Linked DNA regions of Danio rerio. The protein of the gene in region 4 interacts with the protein of the main gene of each other region in a biochemical or structural test. Links are inferred from orthologs where the notes say so. Each region holds a gene or a part of one and is shown on either strand. Other genes may lie near its edges. The genes, in order: rnf168, parp10, rnf114, si:ch211-202a12.4, atxn3, rnf166 and usp19.

The links.
Region 1: the proteins of si:ch211-202a12.4 (region 4) and rnf168 form a complex in vitro, tested with the Homo sapiens proteins (8 studies listed by BioGRID, with this or other methods). The link is inferred for Danio rerio from reciprocal best matches to the Homo sapiens genes UBC and RNF168.
Region 2: the proteins of si:ch211-202a12.4 (region 4) and parp10 form a complex in vitro, tested with the Homo sapiens proteins (3 studies listed by BioGRID). The link is inferred for Danio rerio from reciprocal best matches to the Homo sapiens genes UBC and PARP10.
Region 3: the proteins of si:ch211-202a12.4 (region 4) and rnf114 form a complex in vitro, tested with the Homo sapiens proteins (6 studies listed by BioGRID, with this or other methods). The link is inferred for Danio rerio from reciprocal best matches to the Homo sapiens genes UBC and RNF114.
Region 5: the proteins of si:ch211-202a12.4 (region 4) and atxn3 form a complex in vitro, tested with the Homo sapiens proteins (20 studies listed by BioGRID and IntAct, with this or other methods). The link is inferred for Danio rerio from reciprocal best matches to the Homo sapiens genes UBC and ATXN3.
Region 6: the proteins of si:ch211-202a12.4 (region 4) and rnf166 form a complex in vitro, tested with the Homo sapiens proteins (3 studies listed by BioGRID, with this or other methods). The link is inferred for Danio rerio from reciprocal best matches to the Homo sapiens genes UBC and RNF166.
Region 7: the proteins of si:ch211-202a12.4 (region 4) and usp19 form a complex in vitro, tested with the Homo sapiens proteins (4 studies listed by BioGRID, with this or other methods). The link is inferred for Danio rerio from reciprocal best matches to the Homo sapiens genes UBC and USP19.

The regions. Positions count from the first base shown.
Region 1 is NC_133190.1:4,302,428-4,305,927, forward strand, and holds part of rnf168 (E3 ubiquitin-protein ligase rnf168), read right to left. Parts: intron 2,018-3,500; coding exon 1,847-2,017; intron 1,645-1,846; coding exon 1,553-1,644; intron 1,446-1,552; coding exon 1,370-1,445; intron 1-1,369. UniProt on the Homo sapiens protein: E3 ubiquitin-protein ligase required for accumulation of repair proteins to sites of DNA damage. Acts with UBE2N/UBC13 to amplify the RNF8-dependent histone ubiquitination.
Region 2 is NC_133194.1:13,059,300-13,062,799, reverse strand, and holds the end of parp10 (protein mono-ADP-ribosyltransferase PARP10), read left to right. Parts: intron 1-2,855; coding exon 2,856-3,154; 3' UTR 3,155-3,493; downstream 3,494-3,500. UniProt on the Homo sapiens protein: ADP-ribosyltransferase that mediates mono-ADP-ribosylation of glutamate and aspartate residues on target proteins. In contrast to PARP1 and PARP2, it is not able to mediate poly-ADP-ribosylation.
Region 3 is NC_133198.1:3,522,264-3,526,417, reverse strand, and holds the start of rnf114 (E3 ubiquitin-protein ligase RNF114), read left to right. Parts: upstream 1-1,354; 5' UTR 1,355-1,863; coding exon 1,864-1,982; intron 1,983-3,982; coding exon 3,983-4,133; intron 4,134-4,154. UniProt on the Homo sapiens protein: E3 ubiquitin-protein ligase that promotes the ubiquitination of various substrates. In turn, participates in the regulation of many biological processes including cell cycle, apoptosis, osteoclastogenesis as well as innate or adaptive immunity.
Region 4 is NC_133180.1:42,862,283-42,866,399, forward strand, and holds the start of si:ch211-202a12.4 (polyubiquitin-C), read left to right. Parts: upstream 1-1,317; 5' UTR 1,318-1,383; intron 1,384-4,046; coding exon 4,047-4,117.
Region 5 is NC_133192.1:59,465,416-59,469,561, forward strand, and holds the start of atxn3 (ataxin-3), read left to right. Parts: upstream 1-1,346; 5' UTR 1,347-1,364; coding exon of another isoform or gene 1,365-1,388; 5' UTR 1,389-1,698; coding exon 1,699-1,731; intron 1,732-2,125; coding exon 2,126-2,290; intron 2,291-2,379; coding exon 2,380-2,424; intron 2,425-3,446; coding exon 3,447-3,532; intron 3,533-3,627; coding exon 3,628-3,694; intron 3,695-3,790; coding exon 3,791-3,878; intron 3,879-3,976; coding exon 3,977-4,097; intron 4,098-4,146. Other genes in the region: gamma-aminobutyric acid receptor subunit rho-1, read right to left, coding at 1-93. UniProt on the Homo sapiens protein: Deubiquitinating enzyme involved in protein homeostasis maintenance, transcription, cytoskeleton regulation, myogenesis and degradation of misfolded chaperone substrates.
Region 6 is NC_133182.1:56,248,410-56,252,521, forward strand, and holds the start of rnf166 (E3 ubiquitin-protein ligase RNF166), read right to left. Parts: upstream 2,801-4,112; 5' UTR 2,644-2,800; coding exon 2,474-2,643; intron 1-2,473. UniProt on the Homo sapiens protein: E3 ubiquitin-protein ligase that promotes the ubiquitination of different substrates. In turn, participates in different biological processes including interferon production or autophagy.
Region 7 is NC_133198.1:23,061,067-23,064,566, reverse strand, and holds part of usp19 (ubiquitin carboxyl-terminal hydrolase 19), read left to right. Parts: intron 1-90; coding exon 91-231; intron 232-333; coding exon 334-452; intron 453-547; coding exon 548-691; intron 692-1,266; coding exon 1,267-1,586; intron 1,587-1,665; coding exon 1,666-1,779; intron 1,780-3,029; coding exon 3,030-3,246; intron 3,247-3,327; coding exon 3,328-3,480; intron 3,481-3,500. UniProt on the Homo sapiens protein: Deubiquitinating enzyme that regulates the degradation of various proteins by removing ubiquitin moieties, thereby preventing their proteasomal degradation. Stabilizes RNF123, which promotes CDKN1B degradation and contributes to cell proliferation.

The DNA.
Region 1 (3,500 bases), on a different chromosome or scaffold from region 4:
TATCTTAATAAGATATAATCTCAAACAAAAGTTATCAGTATCACTTCATTTTCTCATGCCCTTTTTCTTGTCTGTTCTTGATGGAAGATTTTTTAGATATTTAAACTGGAAACGAGACAAAATGACTAAAAAAACTTTTCTGCAGTGCAGCTATACATGACTACAGACGGAAAAAAATGGCGAAGTGAATAAAAATGTGTCTTTGGTCTTGAAATGCAAAGTAACTCTACCACCGCTGCTTTACTGCTGTTATTAACTCTTTCACTGCTGAGTTTAAAAGATTCTCTCTGGCCCGGGAGTCAGTTTTTTTAGAACATTTACCCTTAATGTTTCCATGGCGACGTACAGCCATGTATGACAGATGTATCCCTTTTATTTAATTTTTTTATTAGTTTTTAGTTTTTTTAATTCAACATATTTACACACTTGCTCATCATGTCATCAACTACCCAATATTCCAATTCACATAAACGTGTAAGTGATCGTGATCTATTGACCTTATTCTAAAATGCGGAAGTGCGCCTGTTTTCGCGATTGTCTTAGAACTTCCGATTCAGTCACCTATGGGAGAAATGACTAGGAATAATAAACGGCAGAAAACGGTCAAACTACTTGCTCTACAAACAAATGTTTGCATGACTATACAAACCAAGTAGAAGAATATAATAAGAAAATATCAAATTGCAACATCAAGCAGCATAATGAGCAGTTTTTAATGTCTAAAAATGAATGGAAGTGAATGAGACCGGAAGTCTCGAGCCAAAAAGATTCAAATGGCAGCACCCGCTCATAGGCGGAGAATAAGGTCAATAACGTGGCGCTGAACTCTGTATCAGTGCGCGAGAGACAGAGAGAAGCCGTGTGTGCACTCCGCTTCGCGCTGAGCTAAAGTTTTCATTATTTTTTTTTTTTTTAATCAAACGTCTCCATGTCGCGTGACACGACGAATCGATAATGAAATTTATTGCCAACGCTTTTAGTAATCGATTTTTATGGATTTAATCGATTTGTTGTTGCAGCACTAATATGTAGTCTTGTTTTCAGACACACTGATCTAAATCATGCGAGTTTAGGCGTCAACTCACTTTATTTTGTTAATTTTCTAATTTTCTCAGACATTTTTACTGCATCTAATGCGATAACGTCATGAAATAGAGGCTTTATTGCTTTAATTTTTGGAAGGGTAAATTTAGACTGCAAAAAAAAAAAAAAGATTAATTTAAATACTTTTTCTTTACAATTATGTATTTCAGATTTCTAAAATGAAACTATGCTCTTCAAATGTTATCAGTTTGCTTTATATCATATCTAAGAAAGATTTCTGTTAATTACAATAGTAATAATTTCATTTCATTCATGCATAAATTACCTTATTAGCCATCAGGGAGGAGTCTGGGCTGCTGTCAGAACTGCTTGGCTGTTTATGAGGCACTGGACGCAAAAACCTGGCATGTAAGAGAATGCAGTGCTTTTCATAACAGCTCTTTCATCACATTTAACAACAAAAACCAGGATGACACTGATGTACTTGGGCTCCACAGCAGCTACTCACTTCTCAATATCCCCCACACTTGGTTTCTTCTTAGCTGGCGTAGCTTCGGCAGGTTTGATGTTGCATGTTGATTCAGAGGCTGGTCCTGAATTCTGCTCAAACAACATAAAATAGATATTAAATAGCTCCAAATTCAAACCGTTTCAATGAGGGTCACAGAGCAAATGAACTAAACCATGCAGTATAAAACGGTCATTTATTAATGTCTGTTTAATGTCCATTATGATTTTTTTTTTACATGTTTGAGCAGAGAGGAGTGTGTCAGTGAACGTGTCTCGGCTCTTGTAATCTCACCAGTTCTAGGCTGAGCAGTCTGGCCAGTTTCTCATCGTTCTCCAGCTGCAGCTCTTCTTTGCGTCTCCTCTCTTCCTCCAAGCGCTCCTCTTCCTCTGCCAGAAGCCGCTGGATGTACTCCTCGCTGGCTCTCCTTTCAGCCTCCTCCAGGGCTCGCTTCTCCTCCACAAGCTGCACAAAAAAACAGGAAATCAGGTGATTAGATGAATTTTGACTTCATATGCGCTGGTGCACAAGACATTGCATTGTACATTAAAGAAAAAAAATCTGAAGGGGTCATATTATAAATTGTAAAAATTAAAATATATACATAAATAAAACTTTGAGGATGGACATTACTCACTACTATTTTTTGAGGTCAGGTAGGTTTTATTTTAAACCTAGCTAGCAACCAAATGTGATAGTGGCAGGGCTCGAAATTGCGACCATTTTGGTCGCATATGCGCCCGAAAATTTATCTATGCGACCTCATAATATATCTGGGAGCATTAGTGCGACTGCAGATAATGGTTGTAGTGCGACCTGTTTTGATTTTTTGTAAAAACGTGCTGAATCGCTCTTCCCTGCCGCTATATTGGTTCATATTAGCTGTCATTCACTCACGGTATTCCGCTGTCAGATGACAGGGAAGGAGCTTTTATGACCACGGGAAATGCAAACGGCTGAAGAGTGAAAACTTAAAGCACACAGGTTTGCAAACCCCACCTAAAGTTGAGGCGCAGATAAAAGCGATCATGACACGTCACGTGGTGAATAATGATCCGCCAGCTGAGATCAATCGAGTACGCGCTTCTTGGAGAAGGTGCCTGAATCTCCATGCGTTGCATTCACTGCGTGTTCAGCGCAAATGTCCGCTAAAAGTCAAATCTAATACTGTACATATCATCGCCAAAGAAGCTCGCCTTTACTAAGGTAACACTGAAACTGCGGCTCATAACAAAGACCGGTATTGCGCCGATGGTTAGCGCAAGAATCCTGCTCAACCTGCTCATAAATTGGGTCGGCTGACTCGCCAGCTTTTCCACAAACACAGAAAAATGAAGATCACCTTAGACTGAACCTTTAAATTGACACAAACTGAAACCAAAACTTTTAAAGAGTGATAGAAGTGAGACTTTACTTATTTTCTTTTGTCTATTCTTTTTTGAGGTGTATATTATTTTTTTATTTATTTACTGATGACTGCTTTGCAGCTTTCATCATTGAATTGAATGATTTATTATAATATTTTGTTTGTTTTGTAGCAGAAATATTATTTATTAAATTGACATGCATATAAAAACAGCAGTACAAAATAAATATTTCTTACTGCAATGCTTCATTTGTTTGATGCAATCTATACAATTATTTTTCATAAAGTAACAGACTTTTTATAGCAGATAACCTACATTCATGCACATTCAAGGCAGCACCATAATGAGAAATGAAATTCATTTTTACTATTATTGTCATTTTTTATCATCATTAATATTCTATGGCCTAATTATTAGACATTCATTTTGGAATTATTGCACACAAATATCAATGTCTTCACAGCATTAGTTAGATAGTTGTTTCTAGTTTTTGTCAGTCCTATTAATGTTGTTTTAAAATACAATAAATCCCTTAAAAAACAATTTGCAGCGGTGCTCATTCATTTTTGGTGGGTGCTCCT
Region 2 (3,500 bases), on a different chromosome or scaffold from region 4:
AATTTAAAATTGTTAATGAAGTCCATATTGGTAATACTGCCTTTCATGGTCAATGACTGTACTACAGAAACTAGAGGTGCTTTCACACCTAGACCTTTGTTTTGGAACCTGTCTCGTTTCCCCAGTTAGCGCGGTTCATTTGGCATATGTGAATCCAGCAATCATGCTTGGATCCCTGCCAAAACAGTCAGTCCGAGATCGCCTGGATGAGGTGGTCTCGACTCGATTGAAACAAACTCTGGAGCGGATCGATTGTAGTGAGAAAGCGATACGATCCTAGCTAGAATAGGATATGTAATACGGCTATATGAAGAGAGATTTATGAGTTGGGGGGGAGGTATTCCTACCGGTAAATGTGGATTTCATGTTAAATACGAAAGTGAAAGCATGCTAACTATTAATGAGAGCTGTTTATGCAATAGGAAAATTGACCGAACAGCAGTCTTGATTTATCTGTTATTTCTCTTTATAATGTAAAGCCTATAATGCATAAGCCAACTGCTTTGTGTGAGAAAGTCTTACCTCAGATTTATACTTGGTGACAATGTCTGTGGGTGTCATCATTCAAGTTGAAAGCGCAGCTTTTCATTTATAGTGTCTTATTGTTCATCGTCTTACATTAAAACAAGGACGCATGACAGCTGAGCGGGACTCTAATAAAAAAAAAAGTGAAACTCTTACCAATGTGAGGAGAGTTTACTCACACGTGACTTGTTTTAGCTCTTTTGATCCATTTAGAAACTTTTCCATGTAAAAGCGAACCGCACCAAGAACAAAGAGCAACACTGTAACAATTTTAATCCCTGTTTTGGAACAAATACATCAATCCACAGGTGTGAAATCACCCTAAATGTTTACTGTTGTCTTGATTCCAGCAATCACTCCTATAGCCATTAAATATGACCTAGTTAATTTTCACCAACCGTACACAGTGTATGAACATTAAAGGATAAAGTTTATTTTTAAAAAGATTAAAAAGCAAAACTAAACCCAAGTTTGTTACTTGAATTGAAATAAAAATTACGTACAATTAACATGTATGCATTAAACCTTTTCTCAGATAGTTGCTATGGAAATTTCTCATTTGCATTTTGTTTAACTTAATGTACTAAAGTAACTAAAATAAAAGTTCATTTAAAAATCAACAAATAGCAAAAATAACTAATAGAAATGACTACACAAACTAACAAAGTATTTAACAAGCTCCTATTTAGGGTTTTTGATAATGACCTACTATGAAGTGGTCATTATCGCGCACACTCTAAACCAGGGGTCACTAATCTCGGTCAAGGAGAGCCGGTGTCCATGCAGGGTTTAGCTCTAACTTGCCTCAACACACCTGCCTGGGTTTTTCAAGTATACCTAGTAAGACCTTGATTAGCTTGTTCAGGTGAATTTTGATTAGGGTTGGAGCTCAAATCTGCAGAACAACGGCCTGCCAGGAACAAGTTTGGTGACCCCTGCTCTAAACATTACTTCATAACAGTTGTTGAAAAAGAATAAATGATGGGATAGAAGATATAGAACCCAGTCCAGGAGACTCGAAACAAGCAGAAGAATTCCTTTATTGAGACGTGTTGGTTAATCTGCAGTTATACAGCGTCTTCACGTAGTCCATGTGTCTGCAGAGCCTACTAGAGGTCCGCAATCTGCAAGTTCTATCACAAGTCTGATTTGAGACAAGGCTGTTCTGTCTATATTGTGTTCTTAGGAGGAAGGGAGATGGCTAAACTAAGCATGCAAATAAAGTATTGAAGTCGGCATGAAATTGGCAAAAGAACTGGCCCAGCTACTGACCTCACAAGTTAATCAACACAAGGGTTTCTGTAGCATAAAAGCAACACCCGAAAAACCTGCCCATAGCATTTGCATCACTTTGGCTTAGCCCAGGGGTGGGCAAACTCGGTCCTGGAGGGCCGGTGTCCTGCACAGTTTAGCTCCTATTCTAATCACACACACCTGCTTATAGATTTCTAGAGATCTTGAAGACTCTGATTAGCATGTTCAGGTGTGTTTGATTAGTGTTGCAGCTAAACTATGCAGGACACCGGCCCTCCAGGACCGAGTTTGCCCACCCCTGGCTTAGCCTGTAGCCACAAAGCCAAAGGTTAAATGTCCCTCCTAGCTGGGATACTAATGAAATGATATAATTAAAAACCAAAGAATATAACTTTTCAGTTATATGTAAATTATTGTTAATTGGAAATTAGATTATATACATTTATATTCCCACACCGGGAAGTAACAGAACACAGTCCTTTTACAACAGACTATATCATCAGACCAATCAGTCAATTAGCATTGTGCTAAGGAAGGGTCTGGAAACGAATCGCCGAACAAATCATATGGGAGTGGTTAGTATAATTAGGTAAAAATAAATGCATATTGGTGGTTCATTCCACTGTGGTGACCCCTGATTAATAAAGGGATTGAGCTGAAAACAAAATGAATGAATGAATAAATCCATATTATGAGGCAATGAGAGTGTTTTTTGACCTTGTATGCAAATCAGTCTGTTATTAGAGACCCTAAAACTAAAATATGACATGTAATAGGGGCTCTTTAAATCTTTAACTAACATTGAAGCGAAAACAGATTTTAAAAAATATGTTTTCCATCACTGTCCACTATTTTTCTCTAAACTGTGCTTTTGTAGTTCACACAGAGGCAATAAAATTTTCATATCTCTATTAACAACTAACACTTTAAAACACATATTTAACAAACTGTTTTCTGTTTTTGTTGTTGTTGAAAGTGTGTAAATGCCCCAAACATGTTTTTTAAACAAAATGTAATAAAATGAATTAATTCAACTAATTATTTTTTAATATTCGATTTTTTTTCTTCTCTTCCAGCCACTGTATACGGTCAGGGTGTGTATTTTGCGGTCAACGCCTCTCTGTCTGTGTCAGACACCTACTCTCCACCTAATGCAGATGGGCACAAGTTTATTTTTGTAGCCAAAGTGCTCACCGGTGAGTTCACTGTAGGAAAACACGAGATGAAGGCAGCTCCGCTCAAGGAGAATTCAGCCGTACCGTTCAGATACCACAGCGTGACGGATCAGATCAACTCCCCGACTTTATTCGTCATCTTTAATGACACACAGGCTTATCCGAAATACCTTATTACATGCAAGAAGATCTACGGTTAATCACATGCTTTCAGATCCTAATGCTGGCATGCATTTACAGCAACTGCCAATCATGTACAGTTATTAAACTGATTAGAGCTACTTTAATTTACAGCTTTACTGTATTATTATTTGAAACAAAGGTTTGTCTGTTTGTGTTTTATTTAATTTTATTATTTGATTGTTATGTTTGGAAATGACATTTTCATATTTAGCCGTTCTTCTTTAATCATACTATTTTTGTTACAAATTAATTAAATCATAAAAGACACTGTTCGCCTTAATGCTGTCAGATACACATCATTTTTTGAATAATCATTTTTTGGCTGTCAAATAATAAAGTGAAACAGCAACAACAAAGCTGGAA
Region 3 (4,154 bases), on a different chromosome or scaffold from region 4:
CAGATAAATACAGACTTAACTAAAACATAAAAGAAAATAAATTAACTAAAAATCTATTTAAATATTCAAGAATGAATAAAAACACGTAACCTCAATATAAAAACTTTTACAATATCAGCAGCTATAGGTAAGACATTATTTACAATAGACAGCAAGTTTTCTATTCAATTAGCTTCAACTCCTTTGCAACTATCATCGTATTTTGACATTTCTTGCTATCAATACACTGTAGCGAGTATATTTAAAAATTAAAATCTATAATGAATACCTTTAAGATTTAGTATTATTCCTTCTACGGATATGAAATTTACCAAATAAAATCAAAATATTCATTATAAATTCCACAGATAGTTTGTTTCAGTCAAAATAAATTAGCACATGATGTTAAATTCCATCTAAAACCCGATACATACAGAGATAAGTCATCCCAAAACTTCTTTTAATGCTGACATTCAAAAGACTCTGAATGATCTAAACAGAATGAACAATTTTCATCAATTTGCATGAATTTAGATAATGTATTAATACTAACATAAATGTTCAAATCAATCATTCTAAAAAATATCCTCTAGGCTTTAAGGCTCTGTTTAAAAAAATACCTTTGATTGTACATGCTTTACTAAAAAAAATCTAAATAGTGTACACAGGATCAGTTCTATGAATTCTATTTTAAATGTGAATTGTTCCATTGTTTATGAATGTCTGGATTTTTATATTTCTACCAACAAATTTTTTGAGAATAATATTAAATAATACACAACATGTGAAATAATAATTTTTTAAGTAAAAATTGCAACATATAACTAAGAATTGCATTTTTAAGATTATTCTCAATTGTGAAATTGTATGTTAAATGCTAATATTTTGATCTACGTTTCTAACAAGACAAATGCAAGAATTGCGAGGTCAGATGTTGTTTTTAGATTTTACAGGCATTTATTTACTATTCTGGGATAAAAAAAAAGCTATGTAAAAGTTAATTAAGATTTGCGAGATATATAACTGTCACATATAAGTATATTTTATTTTCTATTTGAATGTTTATTTATTTTAATGAATCGAAGTATACTTTTTAGATTACTTTTCTAAAACGTCGCCCGTATTCAAGTTTCACTCCTAAAAATGTTCTACTTTCATTAATTCTGGTAATAAATGAAAGCAATTATTCTAATTTGCTTTGGAAAGACTTCCCCCTTTGTGTAATGTAATTATATATATATATATATATATATATATATATATATATATATATATATATATATATATATATATATATATTAAATATAAATATATATGTAATTAAATATATAGTTTAGGGTAGGCTTAGAAACTTTTTTGACATTTGTAAATCATATACTATTTTCTTTTAATTTATGATGATGTAAATATCCTTATGCATTTCTTTTAAAACATTTTTATTTAAAGTTTTCATTTTTTTTTTCTTTATACTGTGACTAGATTTTGCATTGCCCATCAATAATAAAAAAAGTAACGTCAAAAAAACTTCTACGTTCTTATTTTACAGTCTGATTCAACCTCCAATCGAGTCATTTTCACATTCATTCATTCGGTCGGTCATTTAAAAGAGCCGGTTCAAATGACTCGTTTATGCATCGGAGAGCACTAGCGAGATCTCGCTTATAACTACGCACGTAAAAGACAACACAGCCACAACAGATGTAGCCTACTATATGTTGCATTTATTTGTTAGCAAACGGCTATTTTTATTTGTCGTACGTCTAATAAGAGCTGTAATGTTGTTTCTCGTTCATGTGCATCAGGAGATCAGCTGAGTTGTTGCTCCTCCCCTCACAAAAGTGAATCTCACTGGAGTTCAAGAACACGGAACACAGCGCAGCAGAAATGGCCATGCTCAAAATAGACCCGCAAACCGACGTAAACGATGCTGAAGACGACGACTTCGTGTGTCCCGTGTGTTTGGAGATATTCGTCCGGCCCATGACCACGCAGTGCGGACATACGTGAGTATTCTGGAGAGCTCATGTCTGCTAGCAGCAACTTCTCGGTTGACATGTTGAGTAGTTTAATGTTAATCCCCTCATCACCTCAAAGCGATTCACAACCTTCGTGACCTCCGCCTTAATCTTAATGTGATTGTGTTGGACACTGTTCAGTAAGTGCTGTTGTTGTGCGATTTTTTTTATAAGACAGAAACTGGTTACTTTCAGTTTTGCTTCTTGTGTACAAAACTTTGCAGTGTGGGATTGTGGGAGTTGTAGTGTACACGTAATTAGAACCGGAAAACAACACCCAGCGCCTGTCTTGTCAGATCAGATGTGGCCTTTCAATTACAAGCATTCCTGGCAAACATCAGTTAAAAGTGCAAAATAATAGCATTTACAGAGTATTTGTATTTGGTTAAGGTGCTGTAGGCAGTGTAGGGAAGGCGGTTTTTAAAATGTATTTCACTTTAGATTAATAACGTGTATTTTTAAAAAAGTTAAGTTACTCAATCTGTTTGGAATATTAATTATTAATAGAGCAGTAAAGAAAAGTGGAATCCACAAAACATTAGACATTTTTAATTCATTTTTATTTATATATCAGTTACTCAAAAAGGCAATATAATGATTTTTAATGAACAATTGAGGTAAATTGTACTTATTTAGTATTAGTATTAGCTGCTGAAGCACAGTGATAATTGAAAATGTATACTTTAGTTTGTGTAAAAGTTTACACCCCCTGCTCTTAATGTGAATGTGCTGAGTGTCAGGAAACATTTTCACTTTCGGTAAATGTTTTGCTTGAGTTCGTCAGTAAACATGGGCATCACAATCACACAGTCACTGTTGTAGGGCTGTAAAAATATAAAGAAGACGCAGTAAACTGAAGAATTTGCAGGAGCTGAAGGCCTTTTCTAAACTACAGCAGCTGGTTGAACTCTTCAGGACAATCAAATGACTCATTAAAAACCATCACAAACATTCATACAGTTGATTCAGGGGTGTGTAAACATTTCAACAGGATAGATTTAGTCAGTTATTATTTTGTCTTATATGTAAATATCTAGCTCATGTGGAGTAGTACCAGTGGTGTAGCGGACGGGCCAGCAGGGCACGCTCCGCGGGGGGGCCCCGCGTGATTAAGGGCCCCGCCTTGTTGCGATTTTTAATAATTGAAAATCCGGCAACCACAATAATCAAACCCCTGGGAACAACTGTGGTCGGAACCAAAGTTCCCAGGTCTGTGTTCTCTCAACTCCTCTCAAACGGTGGACTACTTCATTCTGATTGCTTGCCGCCGAACCACATCATAGCATATTACCATAAAGTTGACTTGATTTCAAGTCCTCCTCGATGCCCACACCGGAGAAGACTCGACGCGCTGCTCCTCGCCACCGGTTCTCATTGAAATTGAAGGACTTCCGGCTACTTTGACGCTCTCGCTGCTTGTTTGTGAAGGCTACCCCGCGTCGTCGCTCCACCCCGCCCCCCTTTCCCGCTCCTTAGTTTGTGATGGCTCCTCAGTTTGTGAAGGCTTCCCCGCGTTGTCTTTCCACCCCGCCCCCCTTTCCCGCTCCTCAATTTATGATCGCTTCCTCGCGTCGTTGCTCCACGACTCTCCGTGTCCCCTCAGTTTGTGATTTCCCCCCCATCAGTGGGCCCCATTAGTGATCCCTGCAGGGGGGCCCCCACATTTTGCGCTATGCCACTGAGTAGTACTCAAAACTAGCATTCACTATGATCCATCCTATTTTGTTGAAATTATTAAAATTATTGTATTCTGCAAGGCAGGGTGTGTAAATAGTACTCATAGTACTCTTCGTTATAGTAGTAGTACTAGTCATCGTCATCGTTATGGTAGTAGTAGTAGTGGTGGTGGTGGTGAATGATGCATAAGCTGGGGACACTTCAGCAATGTCCAGTTCATATATTCTGATGAGTGATTTTTTTTGTTTAATTATTTTTTGTTTTCAACTGAAAGCACTCAATTGCAGTGTTTTTCTCTCTCTTCCGCTCAGGTTCTGTAACGACTGCCTTCAGGAGTGTCTGCGGCCCCAAAGCCCAGTGTGTGCCGTCTGCAGGACTGATCTGCGCAAGTGGGCTAAAGATGACCATTTACAAGACCTTATGAAGAGATCAATCGGAAAGTGCAAAGGCTGTAAAAATGAGGTCAGTCAAGTTTACATGGAC
Region 4 (4,117 bases):
AGATACATTGCTCTCTGAAGGGCACTTCGTAGTGATAAAATTATGGCCGCCATATTGAAGTGTCATTCAAACTGAAGTGATCAAAAGCCCCCCTAGGAATAAATGAGTTTGAAAAATAAAACCGATGAACATTTTGGGAAATTATCCTTTGAGCAGGGAAGCTGCTTGGTGTCAATTATCATTTAATTATACTTTGGTGGGAAATTATCTTTTGAGCAGGAAAGCTGTGTGGTTTTCCACACTACACTCAATTCGAAAGGACTCATCCCTATGCGCTAATCTCTTTAGAGGAACCCTCTGAAGGGATTAGGGCATAGGAATGAGCCCTTCAGATTGGAATCCATCATGTATTTTTTTTTGTTGGTGGTTGAGAAAGTGCATTTCTGCCACCTATAGGACTGGAGTATGAAACTTGGTTGGGGGCTTAAAAAACTGTAACCACTTTTAAACCTAATTTTCCAGTCCGGAGACATTCAACAATCCAGATGACACCTTAATGATCTCTTTAATGTGGTAATTCTAATGTGTGATTAACACTTTACTCAGATTTCTTTCAGTTATTTTTCAGAATAATTCTATTTATTCTCTCTTGAATTATGTAATTTGTTATTAAGCATTTTTATGACAGTAACTTGTTTAATTTTTTACACAAACTTTTTTGCGCTGTATGACCAATGTATAATCTTGCAATTATCACATTTTTATTGTTTGCTCTGTTTTCCACGCAAATGTATCCTTATAAATGTTTTTTTTTTTGTTCTCCCATTCTTCTGCCTGCTCACTTTACTCAGCTGTACCCTGAAGTTAATATCAGGGTTCATTATTACCATACACAATCAGTTTCTTTTAAGCAACCAAAACATCCACTGGAACCCACGCAACTAACTATAATTCATATTTTATAATGCTGTATAATCTCTGGTCCTGTAATACGATGTATCTTTCCAGACTGTTCTATTTTTGTTTATACAGTATGTCAGTTCTTCTCTTTGCCTGGTCTTGTCTGAATCACCAATAGCAAAGCGAACAAACACTAAACCAGCCAATCACTGCCTGCAGGTTGTCCTACAAGTCCAGCCCATTCCAGCACATTGTGGAAACTTCCTTTATGGGTAATTTATGATTAAATTATACGTTTCAAATATTGATACATAACTTGTATTTATTTTTAAAAAATCAAATAATTCCATAGTTTTAACATTTATTTTAATTTTTCAAACGAAAAAAAGGTTTTGACTACTAAAAGACCCGCTCACGTGACATGAGAACGTCACGCTGTTGGGTTTGTATAAAAACAGTTTCACTCGCTTCATCGGCTGATTTTTCTGCGAAGAAGAGAAGAACTTATTCACTTTCAGAAGCAGTTTCAGCGATATTTATAAGGTAAGAAAGCTATTCCAGTTCGATTTAGAACCTTCATAAAGACCTTTAGGTATACTATTATTGATATTTCGTCATTCCTGTTTATTGTATTGATTTTGGCGCTCATATCCTCGACATCCTAACTAAATGTAAAGAAGTAATTTTACAGTCCTTAATGCTTTGACTAGAGTAATACTCATACGATGTTATTTTCCCAAATTGATACGTTTGCTTTTTAATTGTTAAATTGTTCAATGTCGCAGTTTGTCAGATTAAATTATGCTGAGTCATGGCGCTGTATGAACAAAGAACCCGGATATTACTGTACAGCGGCCATGTTTGTTGTTGCGCATTACCGTTTTTAAATGATGACATTGTGCAATTTTTTAATTATGTAACTTATTGTTTTATGTAATTTAGGAGGTAATGTTAACATAAATAACTATTTCGATATAGTGTATGAATGAAATTACAAGTTCATAACTCAACTTTTATTATATTTCTAAAAAACAAACATTTTTAATATGTAGGACCAGACGGAATCTGCGGGCGTTTTTTGCTATTTTTGCGTAGAATTTTGCTAAAAATCTGCGGATTTCTGCGGAATTATTTTGGGAGTATCATAACTAAAACCTTAATATATGAATTTAAAAATAATATCTTTTAAACTTTCATTTAATGTTTAAAATGCAAATCCAATTAGATTCACTTTATTTGGTAAACAAAGCAAGTCTAATATAATGTATCTACTAAAAGACAAAGAATCACTGTACAAACTGCATCGTATATAAATCAGATGAACATTTTCATACAAGTCAATAATATTACTGTTATTAAAAAGTAAATAAATATAGATTTACCCACATTTACTCTAGTAAATAAATAGAATTAATCATGGACTTAAATTTGCGGAATTTTGAGTGCACAGATATAGATAGATAGATAGATAGATAGATAGATAGATAGATAGATAGATATAACCCCCGTTTCAATTTTAACTATTTTCTGTAAAGCTGATTCTGGGTTAATGTAGAGTAGCTTTTACAAGGCATGCATGTCCACGTAATGATTTCTATTACCTAGGAGACACCCTTAAGTTATTGTCTCAGGTAAGAGGAAATCACCCCTACAGGGTTGTGCTCTATAGAAAAACTTAAGCTTGAAGCATCTGGATTGATATTGGCATAAAATAAAGATTTTAATAATTTGCTAATATGCTAATAATAATTTGTCACAATGTGACAATGTCCTTGTTCAAACTGTTAGGGTAACTAACATTTACTCTATTCTTCCAGTTAAACAGGCACTTTCATGTAATTTGATAAATTAACATGTTGTAAATCCAGCATCCCTCCACTAACATGGTGGCACCCATGATCATTATTAATCTGTGAAATGGAAATGGATGCGTTTGTATCATAATATTCATTTATCAGAATATGATATTTTCTAATATATTTAGGATGTTAACCAATGTTTGCATAAAATGACAAAATAAGTGAGAAAATTATATACATAAATCTTCAGGGCTGCAATGTCACATGATAAACTTGATGCATCGTCATGGAAGTCTCAAAGTGAGAAGTTTTAAATTATCGTCAGATTAATAAAACATTTAGTGGGGGTCAGAGAAAGATTTAGAACTTGTGTTTGTGAAAGGATGAGCTAAAATCATTCTGTATTGTAATAGATGTGCTAACACATTAGCCCTGCCCTGAATTAAGCCTATGCTCTCAGATTGACAGATACTATATGTGGTAGGAGGGTTGCACGGTTTACCGGTACTATGGTAGCATCACGATACTGTGGCTTCAAAATACTGGCAGTGCCACTGTAGTTTGTAAACGGTAGTATCTTCATTACCGGTCTATCTATATTATGTAGTGTTGCTTGTGAAAGTGATTAATGCTCACACATATGTGCATCAATAGACCATTTTATTTGAATAGTCTGTGGAGCCCCTTAAGGTTGCATGTTTTTTAACATTTCAAACGCACACCTGAAGCGGTTCATTCTGTTTCTGGCAATGTGATTTAATAGCTACAGCAACCGCAGCAATCTCTTAAAAACAACTTAATGTCTTAAAAAAATATTTTTAATTACTTTGGATTGTTCCCTGATAAGGCTGAAAAAATAAAAAAATAAATGGAAAAACCCAAAATAGTAATATTTGAACAACTTTTGACCACTTATATTTTTCATCACTTTCATAATTTTTTTTTTAAAAATGCTCTTTTCGTAACAAATTCCATTTTGTTTATTTGTATCTTTATTCTAATGTATTTTTTGTTGATCAGTTATCTACAAAATAAACAAAGTATAAATAAATTTTAGGTGAAATAGTGTGCAAATAATACTTATTTCTTTAATTGAAATTAAATTCATTTAATCATCATTCATTTAATGAAACTCAAGTAGACCTATTATAACATATAAAATATAGTATTTATGACAATTTTCCTTATAATTTGAGTTATGAATTACAGTATGGCATTACTATATGGTATCGTGATACTTCAGCTGGTATAGTATTATAACGTGAATTAATGGTATCGCGACAACTCTAACATGTGGTGTTCCAAAAAGATTTCTTTTTGAAGATTTAAGGTAAAATCTTAGATCAGTCGTATAAATCTGTACAAATTTTAGTCATTGCTAATCTTCTTTTGATAATTTGTTTACAGATGCAGATCTTTGTCAAGACCCTTACTGGTAAGACCATCACCCTTGAGGTCGAGCCAAGTGACACCATTGA
Region 5 (4,146 bases), on a different chromosome or scaffold from region 4:
CCATGCGCCGCCCCGAACCAATTCTCCTAATGATGGTGTGTTTGGCATTTGCATTTGCATGGCCAGGTCAGTCGTGTGGAGGATCAACTTCATGACTGTATGCTCTGCAGAAACTGCTTTACTTACTCAGAGTTTCTGTCTTGTGTTTGGTCCAAATATCTTTCAATTCTTTAAGAAAGAAGCATTCTCTAGACCAGCACAGCATATTAAAATCACCAGTCCAGCGCACCTGAAATATAAGTGAAAAAGCCTCTATTGAGATGACTATTGCTGTAAAACAGCAGGATTGTGCAGCGCACTTGTGAAAGTCAGTATTTCAATGGTAATAAAGGCTTTTAAACTTTTATCCTCCTCCTCGAATGCCTTGGAGGTCTGATCTTTTAGAAATCTTTAGATATTTGGACCAGAAACAAGATTAAAAACTCTAAGAAGATCATTTTTGCAGTGTAGAAATGAACTGAAATGGTTCTGAAGTGTTGTGTTGGATCAAGACATCGAGAGCCCCTCTCTCTGTGGACATAAACTGTCCTCTGTGTGGTTCGGATCAATGCAGTGTCCAGAACCCCTTCAGACGCTCCAGATTTCTGCTTCTGGATGACTGATTGACTGATTGACTACACGTGTTGAGCGCTGTGGCAGATGTCTGACAGACTCCACTGCTGCAGGATCTGTTTTATTTTAAGATGTTTCTCTCTGCCTCACGGGTCTGCATGTGTTTCCAGGCTCAGGCTCCATCTTTAAACACTCCCTCATTCACATTAACACGCGTGTGTTGGGGTTCACAGTAGCCGTTTTCAAGCTTCCTATAATGTGTTGAGCAGAGAAACTGGCGTGAATGCAGCTGAGCAGATGACACACACACATCACTGAGCAGATGACACACACACACATCACTGAGATGTCTGTTTGATGTTTGTGCTTACACAAATCTACTAGACATCAGTAAAAAGTCATTTGTGTCTTGAAGTGAATATTTTCAAAGTTCTCAAAAGTGTGAATACTTTAAAAAACATTAAATAATCGAATTACCTCATTTAAAACAAATAAGTTCTGCGTTTAATCAGGATCTGTCCACATGAGGTGTAGCGCAGCGCGCCACTGGGCGGCGTTCCTGATGTTTTGATTCGTCACGTGACAAGCAGAACGGTTAGAAAGTAACATCAGTAAATGTCCTGCTAAATTATTTATATCGACTAAACGTGTAATTCAATTGATAGTGTATCGGAGATCTTAATCTGTCGATTTTAAACGCAGCCTTGCCGCAGTTTTTATTCAAAGAGCGCTTGTTTTTAGGTGACTCTTATTCTGACATGTTTTGACGCGTCGCTGTTTCCGTCAGTTCCGTCATTCACACACTTTCAAACATGGAGTCTATATTCCACGAAAAAGTAAGAATCGCTTTCAGATAATGCTGTGTATGAGTGATGTGTAGATGATCTGGGAGAGCTTCTCCTGCAGGAGGGCAGATCTGTCGAGTTCAGTCTGCTGCTCCGGCTTGATATCTCTGAGGCGCTCGTGGACTTTTATCGAGTGTCAACATCCGACACGGGCAGACAGACAGTCCAGCACATGTGTGTTTACCGCCAGAGCGGCTCCTCTTCACTGCTGCACTCCGCCACACAGCGCTGTAGAGGAGGACACTGAGCCTGTAGACTGAGGGAGTGCTGGAGAGTGTGTCTGAGCTGAAGGAAACACGACATGAGCAGAGTTTACACGACGAGGATGATATGTGTGTGTGTGGTGTGTGTGTGTGTGTGTGTGTGTGTGGTGTGTGTGTGTGTGTGTGTGTGTGTGTGTGTGTGTGTGTGTGTGTGTTGTGAAAGAGTTTGTGAGTGAGTGAAACAAAGAAAGAAATGTAGAGTCTGAGTGAGAGTGTGTGTGTAAGAGAGCAAGAAAGTGTGTGTTTATGTTTGTTGACAAAGAGTGTGTAGTGTATGTGTGAAACAGATTTTGTGTGTGTGTGTGTGTGTGTGTTACAGTAGGAGTACTCTGTGCAGCATGATGATGATGATGATGATGATCATGGTGTGTGTGTGTGTTACAGCAGGAGGATGATGATGATGATGATGATGATGATGTTGATGTTGTTGTGTGTTTACTGTGTGTATGTGTGTGTGTGTTACAGCAGGAGGGCTCTCTGTGCGCGCAGCACTGCCTGAATAACCTGCTGCAGGGCGAGTACTTCAGCCCGGTGGAGCTCTCCTCTATAGCACAGCAGCTGGACGAGGAGGAGCGCATGCGCATGGCGGAGGGAGGAGTGCAGACGGAGGAGTACCGCACATTCCTGCAGGTACACACTCACACACACACACACACACACACACACTCACACACAGAGCTCAGGGTCTCAGTGTAACCTGCTGTGTTCTGTGTGTGCAGCAGCCGTCAGGGAACATGGACGACAGCGGCTTCTTCTCCATCCAGGTCAGTCATAGTTACCCGTTACTCCTCACAAACACTACAACAACAAATCAGACAAAGCTGCTGGGACAGACGGAAAACACGAACCCTCTGCTGTCATTCAGACTGCAGAAACAGGGCGGTGATCAGGTGATCTGCTGGATGATGATGTGATGTCCACAGGTGATGGTGATGGTGATCTGCTCATCAGGAAAGCTCTAGTGCTTTAGGAGCAGAGATGAGTCGAGGATCTCCAGTTTGAGCACAGATATGAGAGAATATGAGTGAAGTGTGTGAACACAATGATCCTCAGAGGAAGACATGTGGAGATTTCACCTTCAGCAGTGCAGAACAGCATTAAAGACTGAAGGAGTCTGGAGGAAGCCCTATGTTAACAGTGTCCAGCAGCGCTTCTCTAGGCTCTGGGCGTCTGGGATGGAGCATCACACAGTGGAGACGTGTCCTGTGCTCAGATGAAGCAGAGTTTCAGGTGTTTCTGGGAGAAATGGACGCCGTGTGCTCCAGACCACAGAAGAAGAGGATCATCCAGACTGACACCAGCAGCAGGCCGGCTCTGTCATGGTCTGGGGTTGTGTCGGTGCTCTGGGCAGAGGTGACCTGCTCTTCTGTGATGCTCCAGTAATGCTGAACAGCACAGAGAGATTCTGGACCCGCATTACAGAGTCCTGCTGCGGAGGAAGAGGAGACAGACACTGGACTGGCCTGCCTGCAGCCCCGACCTGTCTCCAATAGAGAATGTGTGGCATGAAGAGCCCGTACTGTTGCCCACATTAAGACTGGTTTGTCTTTAGTGCATAAACAGCTTACCAGTGTGGTGAAGAGGAACAGCAGCAGCAGCAGCAGCACACACTGCTGAACGCTTCACTGACACGGCTCACTCTGACATGTGCTGCAGAAACCAACACTGGAATACGTGGAAAACAAACGATGATGATGATGATGATGAACACATGAATTAAATGTTTATAGAGACCTGTGTGTGTTTGTGTGTGTGTGTGTGTGTGTGTGTGTGTGTGTGTGTGCAGGTGATCAGCAATGCTCTGGGTGTGTGGGGTCTGGAGATCGTCCTCTTCAACAGCAGAGAGTACCAGCAGCTGCAGATGGACCCCATGTGAGTGTGTGAGCGCTGTATCCTCTATGTGTGTGTGTGTGTGTGTGTGTGTGTGTCTCCTCTGCACACACTCATCCTCCTCTGCTGTCTTTCAGGCATGAGAAGGCCTTCATCTGCAACTATAAGGAGCACTGGTTCACCGTGCGCAAGCTGGGACAGCAGGTGTGTGTGTGTGTGTGTGTGTGTGTGTTCAGGGTCAGAAAGGTGTGTGTTTGTTGACTCTTTCTTTCTCTCTCTGTGTGTTTGTGTGTGTGTCAGTGGTTTAACCTGAACTCTCTGCTGACGGGTCCGGAGCTGATCTCAGACACATACCTGGCCCTGTTCCTCGCACAGCTGCAGCAGGAGGGTAACACTCATTATCGTGTGTGTGTGTGTGTGTGTGTGTGTGTGTGTGTGTGTGTGTGTGTGTGTGTCCGCTTCAGCGCTGCTCTTGTCCTCCTGCAGGTTACTCTATATTTGTGATTCGGGGGAATCTGCCGGAGTGTGAAGCGGATCAGATCCTGCGCATCATGAGGGTGGAGCAGCAGCAGCGGCCCAAGCTGATCGGAGAGGAGGAGACGCAGAGGTACACACACACACACACACACACACACACACACACACACACACACACA
Region 6 (4,112 bases), on a different chromosome or scaffold from region 4:
AAAACTGCTTTATTCTAGCCGAAATAAAACAAATAATAAACTATAAATATATATATATATTTTTAACCATAATGTCATATTTTGTTATAAACCTATACAGACATTAGACTTATATTTCAACATATCATAATAATGAACATCCACAATACTGATATCGTGTTCACTTCAAAATACTGTGAATGATTATTAAATATATAAACTTTTAGAGTTCCTTTTAGGAAAATCCATATTGTTGTTTTTTCAGGGGTTGTTCTGCACAGCAACAAATTCTAGAAAAAATAATCTAGGCTACAACATTGAAACTCCTGTGATAACTTATAGGCCTTTTGTTCATTAACGTTATACATTATGAATCTATTTGTTAGCCGCAGTTAAATTAACCAAAGTCAATGTAATGACAACTACAAAAGCATTTACTAATCTTAGATGATGTTAACTTCTTAGCTAATGGCAAATAAAATGTTAAAATCCAAAAGTTGTAATAATTTTATTAAATGAAGTTAATAACTAACAAAATGAATTTGTATTCATCATCATTTTGCAATTTAAATAATTTAAAACATTTATTTACTTTGTGAACATGTATACAATAAATCAATAAGTTAGCTTCAGCAATTAATTACTAGATAGATAATTACATTTAGCACGTAAAGCATGATTTATTTTACTTTAATATGTGCTTCATTGTGTTTATTTATGACTATAGTTGGTTTATTATATTTATATTATATATTACATAATTTTTTTTCACTTCCCTATAAAATCATCCCAAACAAAGTTTTGACTTAGCGAATCAAGCGATTTGAGTCATCTGATGAAATTTTATTTATATCGCAATATATATATATATATTGTGGGAAAAAAAATATTCATTCATTCATTCATTTTCTTGTCGGCTAAGTCCCTTTATTAATCCAAGGTCGCCACAGCGGAATGAACTGCCAACTTATAAAGCAAGTTTTTATACGCAGCGGATGCCCGTCCAGCCACAACCCATCTTGGGAAACATCCACACCCACTCATACACTACGGACAACTTAGCCTACCCTATTCACCTTCACCTCGTCTTTGGACTGTGTGGGAAACCGGAGCACCTGGAGGAAACCCATGCGAACGCAGGGAGAACATACAAACTCCACACAGAAACACCAACTGAGCCGAGGCTCGAACCAGCAACCCAGTGACCTTCTTGCTGTGAGGCGACAGCACTACCTACTGCGCCACTGCTTCACCCGAAAAAAATATTGTAATGTTAATTTTTCCAATATCGTGCAGCCTAGATACATGCAAACGTGATATGAAAACTGTAATTCAGTCAAGACCTCTGGAACTCTAAAACTACTTTAGCCAACTGTAAAACAATTGCACACATTAACTCGCAACAAAAATGTAAAACAATTTTACACAATTGCACACATCATCAACTAATCATATAATAATTAAAAACCAACAGCAATGTAGTATTAGATACAGAATTATGTAGGCTAACTTTACATTGCTTTTTGACGTCTGTCAAAATGAGGTAAATGACAGCATTCACTTTCACTAAATGTTTAAATGAATCATTTAAGGAAACTATTCAGGGATTCATTTCACAACTCAAGTTTGAGGAAAGGTGGGGGTGGGCTATTTATGTCAGGTTGATTCCTTGGCATGATTATTTCTGTTTCTTTAAAACACCAGCGCTTTGTTCAGTCTCCTTATTATGTTACCACACAAATAAAAAAACGCATCTCTATATCAACCCAAGATGAACTACTTTTGTTTTGTTAAATGTAGAAATCCCGTGTTCTCGGATAAACTCACATGCATTTAGTACACATCAGTTAATTATCAGTCGATAATTACTCGGTTCAGACAAATCTTATGTAGGAGTCGGACGGTTTTAAATGAAGTAAAAAGCCACCATCCGTATGAAATATCGCTCACAGCTTTGCTTTGTTCTCTGCTGCGCATCACAGGGATGGGAAGTGAGTCTAATTACCTCAACTGTTACAGATGCTATGCGTTTATAATCTAGACGGTTTAGAAATTTGCAAGCTCATGAAAACCATAAACACATTAAAATAATGGCAATGTCGAGCATCCTTTTCACGTCCCAAAGCTGACAAAGAAACATGATGTTGGAGTCGTGCAAGCACAAAGGGATGCGAACAGTATTTCGTCTTTGAAGAGTGACATTAATGTCCAAGTCATATTTAATAACAACAATTAAAGTCAAATTGGAGGCGTAACGTTATGTGATTTGTGTGCACTGCAATGCACGAGCTATAACAATAGGGTCGGTAAAACGGGTTATATTGTTAAATATTTTGACATTAAATGCACGTACTGTAAAAGGTAAACACAGACATACATATATGCATACGTATACATACATGGCAATGCCAAAGTGACCACTCCAGAATTGATGTTTTGCCTGTAAATCAACGAAGACACTGGATGGAAATGTGCAAAAGGCCACGATACTCACGTATGGGCGCAGCTTGCGATGCTGACAGGTTTGTGGTAGACCTCCAGACAGATGGGACAGGAGAACTGGCTTTCCAGGCTTTCCCCAGGTGCGGCTGCTGCGGCTCCATTTTGCTGCTGATGCTGCCTGAGCTGAGCAGCGGACACAAAACTGCGGAACATCGCCATCATGCACACGAACCGCAGGACGAACCACTAATACCGCCGATACAAATAGATTTCCGTGGTTTTAACGAATGTCTCGCCGGGAAAAGGTGATTTATTCGACATTAGATTCCGCATCTGCAATCTCCAACAGTGTTAACCAAGGAGGACACGCCGTTGTTCCAAAGAAGTAAACATTACATGGTAGCTTTAACGGAACGGTCTCGATCGGATTAGGCGAGAAAAATTGTGGGAGTTGTAGTTTTAACAGGGATCATTTTCGTTTAGCTACTGTTTAAACGGACTACATTTCCCAAACATTGCATTTATAAGAATTACATAGAGCATAGATAGATGGCGTCAAAGTGAATTTAGAAAATGTAACAAATAAGGTCCAAAGCTTTTAATAAAAAAATATATACACATTTTTATATATTAAGAAATAAATCTAACGTTTATATATTTGTTTTTATTTATTTTAATGATAAATACTTTTTGCGATACGAGACGATGCATAAATGCAATAACATAAACAAAAAATATAAAATCTTTAAAAAGTGATGCGAGGGATGAACAGTTTCGTATCAATACAGAAAATGTATAATTTGTAGAAATAAACTTTTAGGAAAAGAGGGCGGTAGGGTGACAACAACAAAACGAGAAAGCCGAAACAGCCCAGCATGTTGGCTATTTCTCAGTTATATAGCACGGGTCTTCTTTTGGCCCTTTGTTGCATGACAAAATGTATATATAACCCGTAATAACACCTGAATGAAACAGTATTCATCAACTAAAGTATTAATGCCAGACACTGGGCTAATAACAAGCGACGCAAGCGTGTGGGCGTGGCTAACGTTACATTGCGTCATCAAAAGGAGTCAGGAAAACATAATTCAACTCACACGTGAAGTATGTGCTGTTTTAACGATTCTGTATAATAATGATTTCCTGAATCGACTTATCATTAAACGAACTGAATTTACGTCGTGTTGTTTTGTTTTCAATTAGTTTGTGAATTGGAAGCCGTCATGTGTCAAGTTGAAGAGGATTATAATGGTCTGGAATGTAACCAGGAGAAGATCCCTGTGTCGGGGTAAGTTTAAACAACTGCTCTTTGACAGGTTTAAGATATGATTTGGACAATATAGTGGTGATTTTTTTTTGAAGTGCCGATGTGACATCGTAAAATTTTATCAGTGGGATTTTCTACCGCAAATGTGCATTATCTGTCCCTGAAATTAAAACATAAATACAGTGAATAAAAAGTATTTCGTACCAAACTATTTTATAAAGGACTGATAGATGATTTCTGTGAGTAGGTTTGTAAAGAAACATGTCATTCATTTTATTCTCATATTGTTTTTCTTTATTAAAAACATTTTACAAATGTACAAACCCTGTAATGGTCCTTGTCCTCAGCCCAGTTGAACTTACAGCTTTAATAGTTTTGTTATGCATAACATACTTATTCTTTTGCTTAAATTAAGGTCAAAATG
Region 7 (3,500 bases), on a different chromosome or scaffold from region 4:
CTTTAGCAGACATATTTACAGTGCTTTAGTTGTGTGTCATTGAAAAGTTCTATACACTCTAATTTATGTTTTGTTGTTTTTTCCCCTCAGGTTGTGAAGGGCAGGTTCCACAGAATCTTTTTACCGTCTCAATCTTTAGACACGGTCTCGTCCAGTGACCTGCTCTTCTGCTTTGAGATGCTGTCAAAAGATCTCATCAAAGAGAGAGTGGTGTTGCTGAAGGTCCAGCAGGTACGCCATTTACACCGCTCTTACTTTCTTCCCTTAACTATTGCCGATTTTTGTTAGCATTTGCCTGTTTTCTTGCTATAATCATGTGTTTTTTATCTTCAGAGACCTCAGATTCCTAGCATACCAATCACAAAGTGCGCTGGTTGTCTGAAGCCTCCTGCCTCTGACGATGAGAAGCTGAAGCGCTGCACACGCTGTTATCGTGTCGGCTACTGCAATCAGTGAGTTGTGTGTTGTTCTGGCTTTGACATCACACATAAGATTTAGAGATTTTGCCTTTGGTGTAGTTGGTAGTAAGAATTTTTTCTGATTACAGGACCTGCCAGAAGAACCACTGGCCTTCTCACAAGACTATGTGTCGGTCTAATGTGGAAAACATTGGACAGCCATTTTTAATCAGCGTGCCTGAGTCTAGACTTTCTTACACTCGCCTCACACAGCTTCTAGAAGGCTACTCTAGGTATAATTACAGCTATATTCAGATTTGTTTACCTATCTGTGTAATTCAGTCAGGATTAGATGAAGATATAATTAAAACACTGATAAAATTTTAGTATTTATTTATTTATTGCTTTATCTGTCAGTCTATTTGTATATCATTTATTTATTTTTTAAATAAATAGATTGTAAGGTTTTATGTACATTTTATACATTGTATGCATTTTTGTGCCAATTTTGTGTAGGTTTTTTATTTAGAAAGCATATATTTTTATTATTATCGTATCATAATAATTTTATTAAGTATTTTTATAACATCTTTGTTTTAATAGTGTTATAAGCTGCTTTTTATTTATTTAATAACAATTTTAATCAGTTTTATATTATATATACTCATTCATGTAGGATTGTCCTATAGAAGTATGTATTTAACTTTTTTACTGTAATTTTGTAGAATATGATGTAATTTTACTTTTTTTTTGTAGTCTTGAATATTTTGTGTGGATTAATTTTAGGTCTTTAACCTATGGTGACCTAAAAAATCATTTAAAAGCTATGAAGTAGTAGCCCTGTTTGAGTCTTGAGTTCTGTGTGCAGGTACTCTGTCAATGTGTTCCAGCCACCTTTCCAGTCAGGTCGGACGTCCCCTGAGTCCAGTCTGTCCCGTGTTGACCTGACTTCCATGGCGAGCAGCGTCCCAGAGTGTCAAGAGAAGGACCTGCCATCAGCGGGTGACGCAGAAAACCCAGCAGAGCAGGATGAATCTGTCACAGCCTCACAAACGGAGAGTGCAGCAGATGGAGGAGACACTCTCTCCACACATACCACTGACTCTGGTTGCTGTGAGCTCGCCTCCAGCTCCCATGATTCTCTGCTGGAGAAAGAAACGTCATGTGAAAAGGCTGTTAAACCAGAAGGTAAGTTGGTCTAAGGCTCTTCACTCAGGTCTTTGTTGTTGTGTGGTGTTATAGTTCATCATTGTTTGTTCATTGGCAGCTGTAGTAACTGGGTATCAACAGCCTTCTGAGTCGGCGAGTGGAGGTGCATCTCAATTTTACATCACTATTCTGGACTCGAGCCAAAAGGAAGACAAAAAACTTGAAGAGAAAGGTCAGTCAGAGGTTTTGTTTTGTAAAATGTTTGGGGTTAGTGCCTGAACTGATACTATATGGAAAAATATATATTTAAAGGGCACCTATGATACCAAATAAAATTTTGGAAGCTGTTTAGACAGAACTGTGTGTAAAAAGTCTCTTTTTTTAATTAATTTTTTTATTTCCTGACGTTAAAATAGGATTTAGTTCTTAGTGATTTTTGAGGACCTCCACTATGGGATGCAGGAGTATGTTTTTTTTCCACCTACCAAACTAATTGACAGGAGTGTATTAACATGTCTATGTAGTAGCACATACAAACATGTCCACAGGACAGGATTTTCAAAAAAATCTGGGATTAAAAGATCTGTTCAACTCTCTATGATCAGCTGCACCCCAAGAATGAATTTTAAACAGTTTTAAAACCGTTAATGTAAAAAGTAATGTTTAATACAAAAACGCACAGTTTTAGTACAACTATATTCAAGGATATAAACAAGGTTATACGAGGATACAAACACACAACAGGAGTCCTGGTTTGTGGATGTTACATCCTTTTTGTACAGTAGCATAATGGATGTCCACATTTGCTGCAAGTAGACGTGCAAAAACAGTGCACATTAAACGTGTGTATTTGTGTGTACGTGTGTTTGTAACGGCATTTATGTAACTCATCGTTGCTAAAATGCTTGAATAAACTCCCTAACAAAAACATTAAATAAGCTTATTTCACTGACTGCTGTTTATCTGATGTGACGCACGCATGTGGGATGAGTGGGTGGGGAGATCCTGCTTATTTGCATTTAAAGGAACAGTCAACAAAAAACGACTACAATGTCCTCTAACCTCAAAATTCTGAAGCAAAAAGCAGATTTTACTCTCTACAAGCAGGTTGAACTTCTCAATAGCTATAAAATAATGTTTCCAGGGTTATTTCCCCTAAATAAAGCAGTGCTGCACTTTCAAACAGAACTTTAATATGTATCATTCAGGGATGAGAAGAAAAGAAAATACCACATTAGCTCTTCTGAAGGAAGTCATTTTCTTGAGGAATTTGTTCATAAAAACTGCTATGCCAGTTGTATTGTGATTTGTTTGGCATTTATTGTCATTTGAACCACCACATATTTTAAACTATTTTTAAGTTTTAGGCATCAAATTCAACCATTTCTGCTCCAAAGTCTGTGTTCTGATTCTGCCTTATTGGCTCTGGGTTTCAGTACCAAACCTTATTGTGTGTTTTCACCATCTTTTTGTCTCCTGCAGGTGACGCGGTACTGGAGCTGCCTGATGAGTGCACACTAGAGCTGGTGTGGAAGAACAACGAGCGGCAGAAGGAATATGTGCTGGTGCGCTCTAAAGATCTGGAGTTCGATGAGGACCCAGGCTCTGCTACCGAGACCTCTAGGGCAGGACACTTCACCTTAGAGCAGTGCCTCAACCTCTTTACCAAACCTGAGGTCCTAGCCCCTGAGGAGGCATGGTATGAACACGCACTCAGAGTGCCCATAGAAAGTGTTCAAATAGAACTGTATGTGTGATCATATTTTTTTTTTTTATTCAGGTACTGTCCTAAGTGTCAGCAGCACAGAGAGGCCTCTAAACAGCTCCTACTTTGGCGTCTTCCGAATGTACTCATCATCCAGCTCAAGCGCTTCTCATTTAGGAGTTTCATATGGAGGGACAAGATTAATGACATGGTCGATTTTCCAGTCAGGTATACTGAAAGTTACTCAA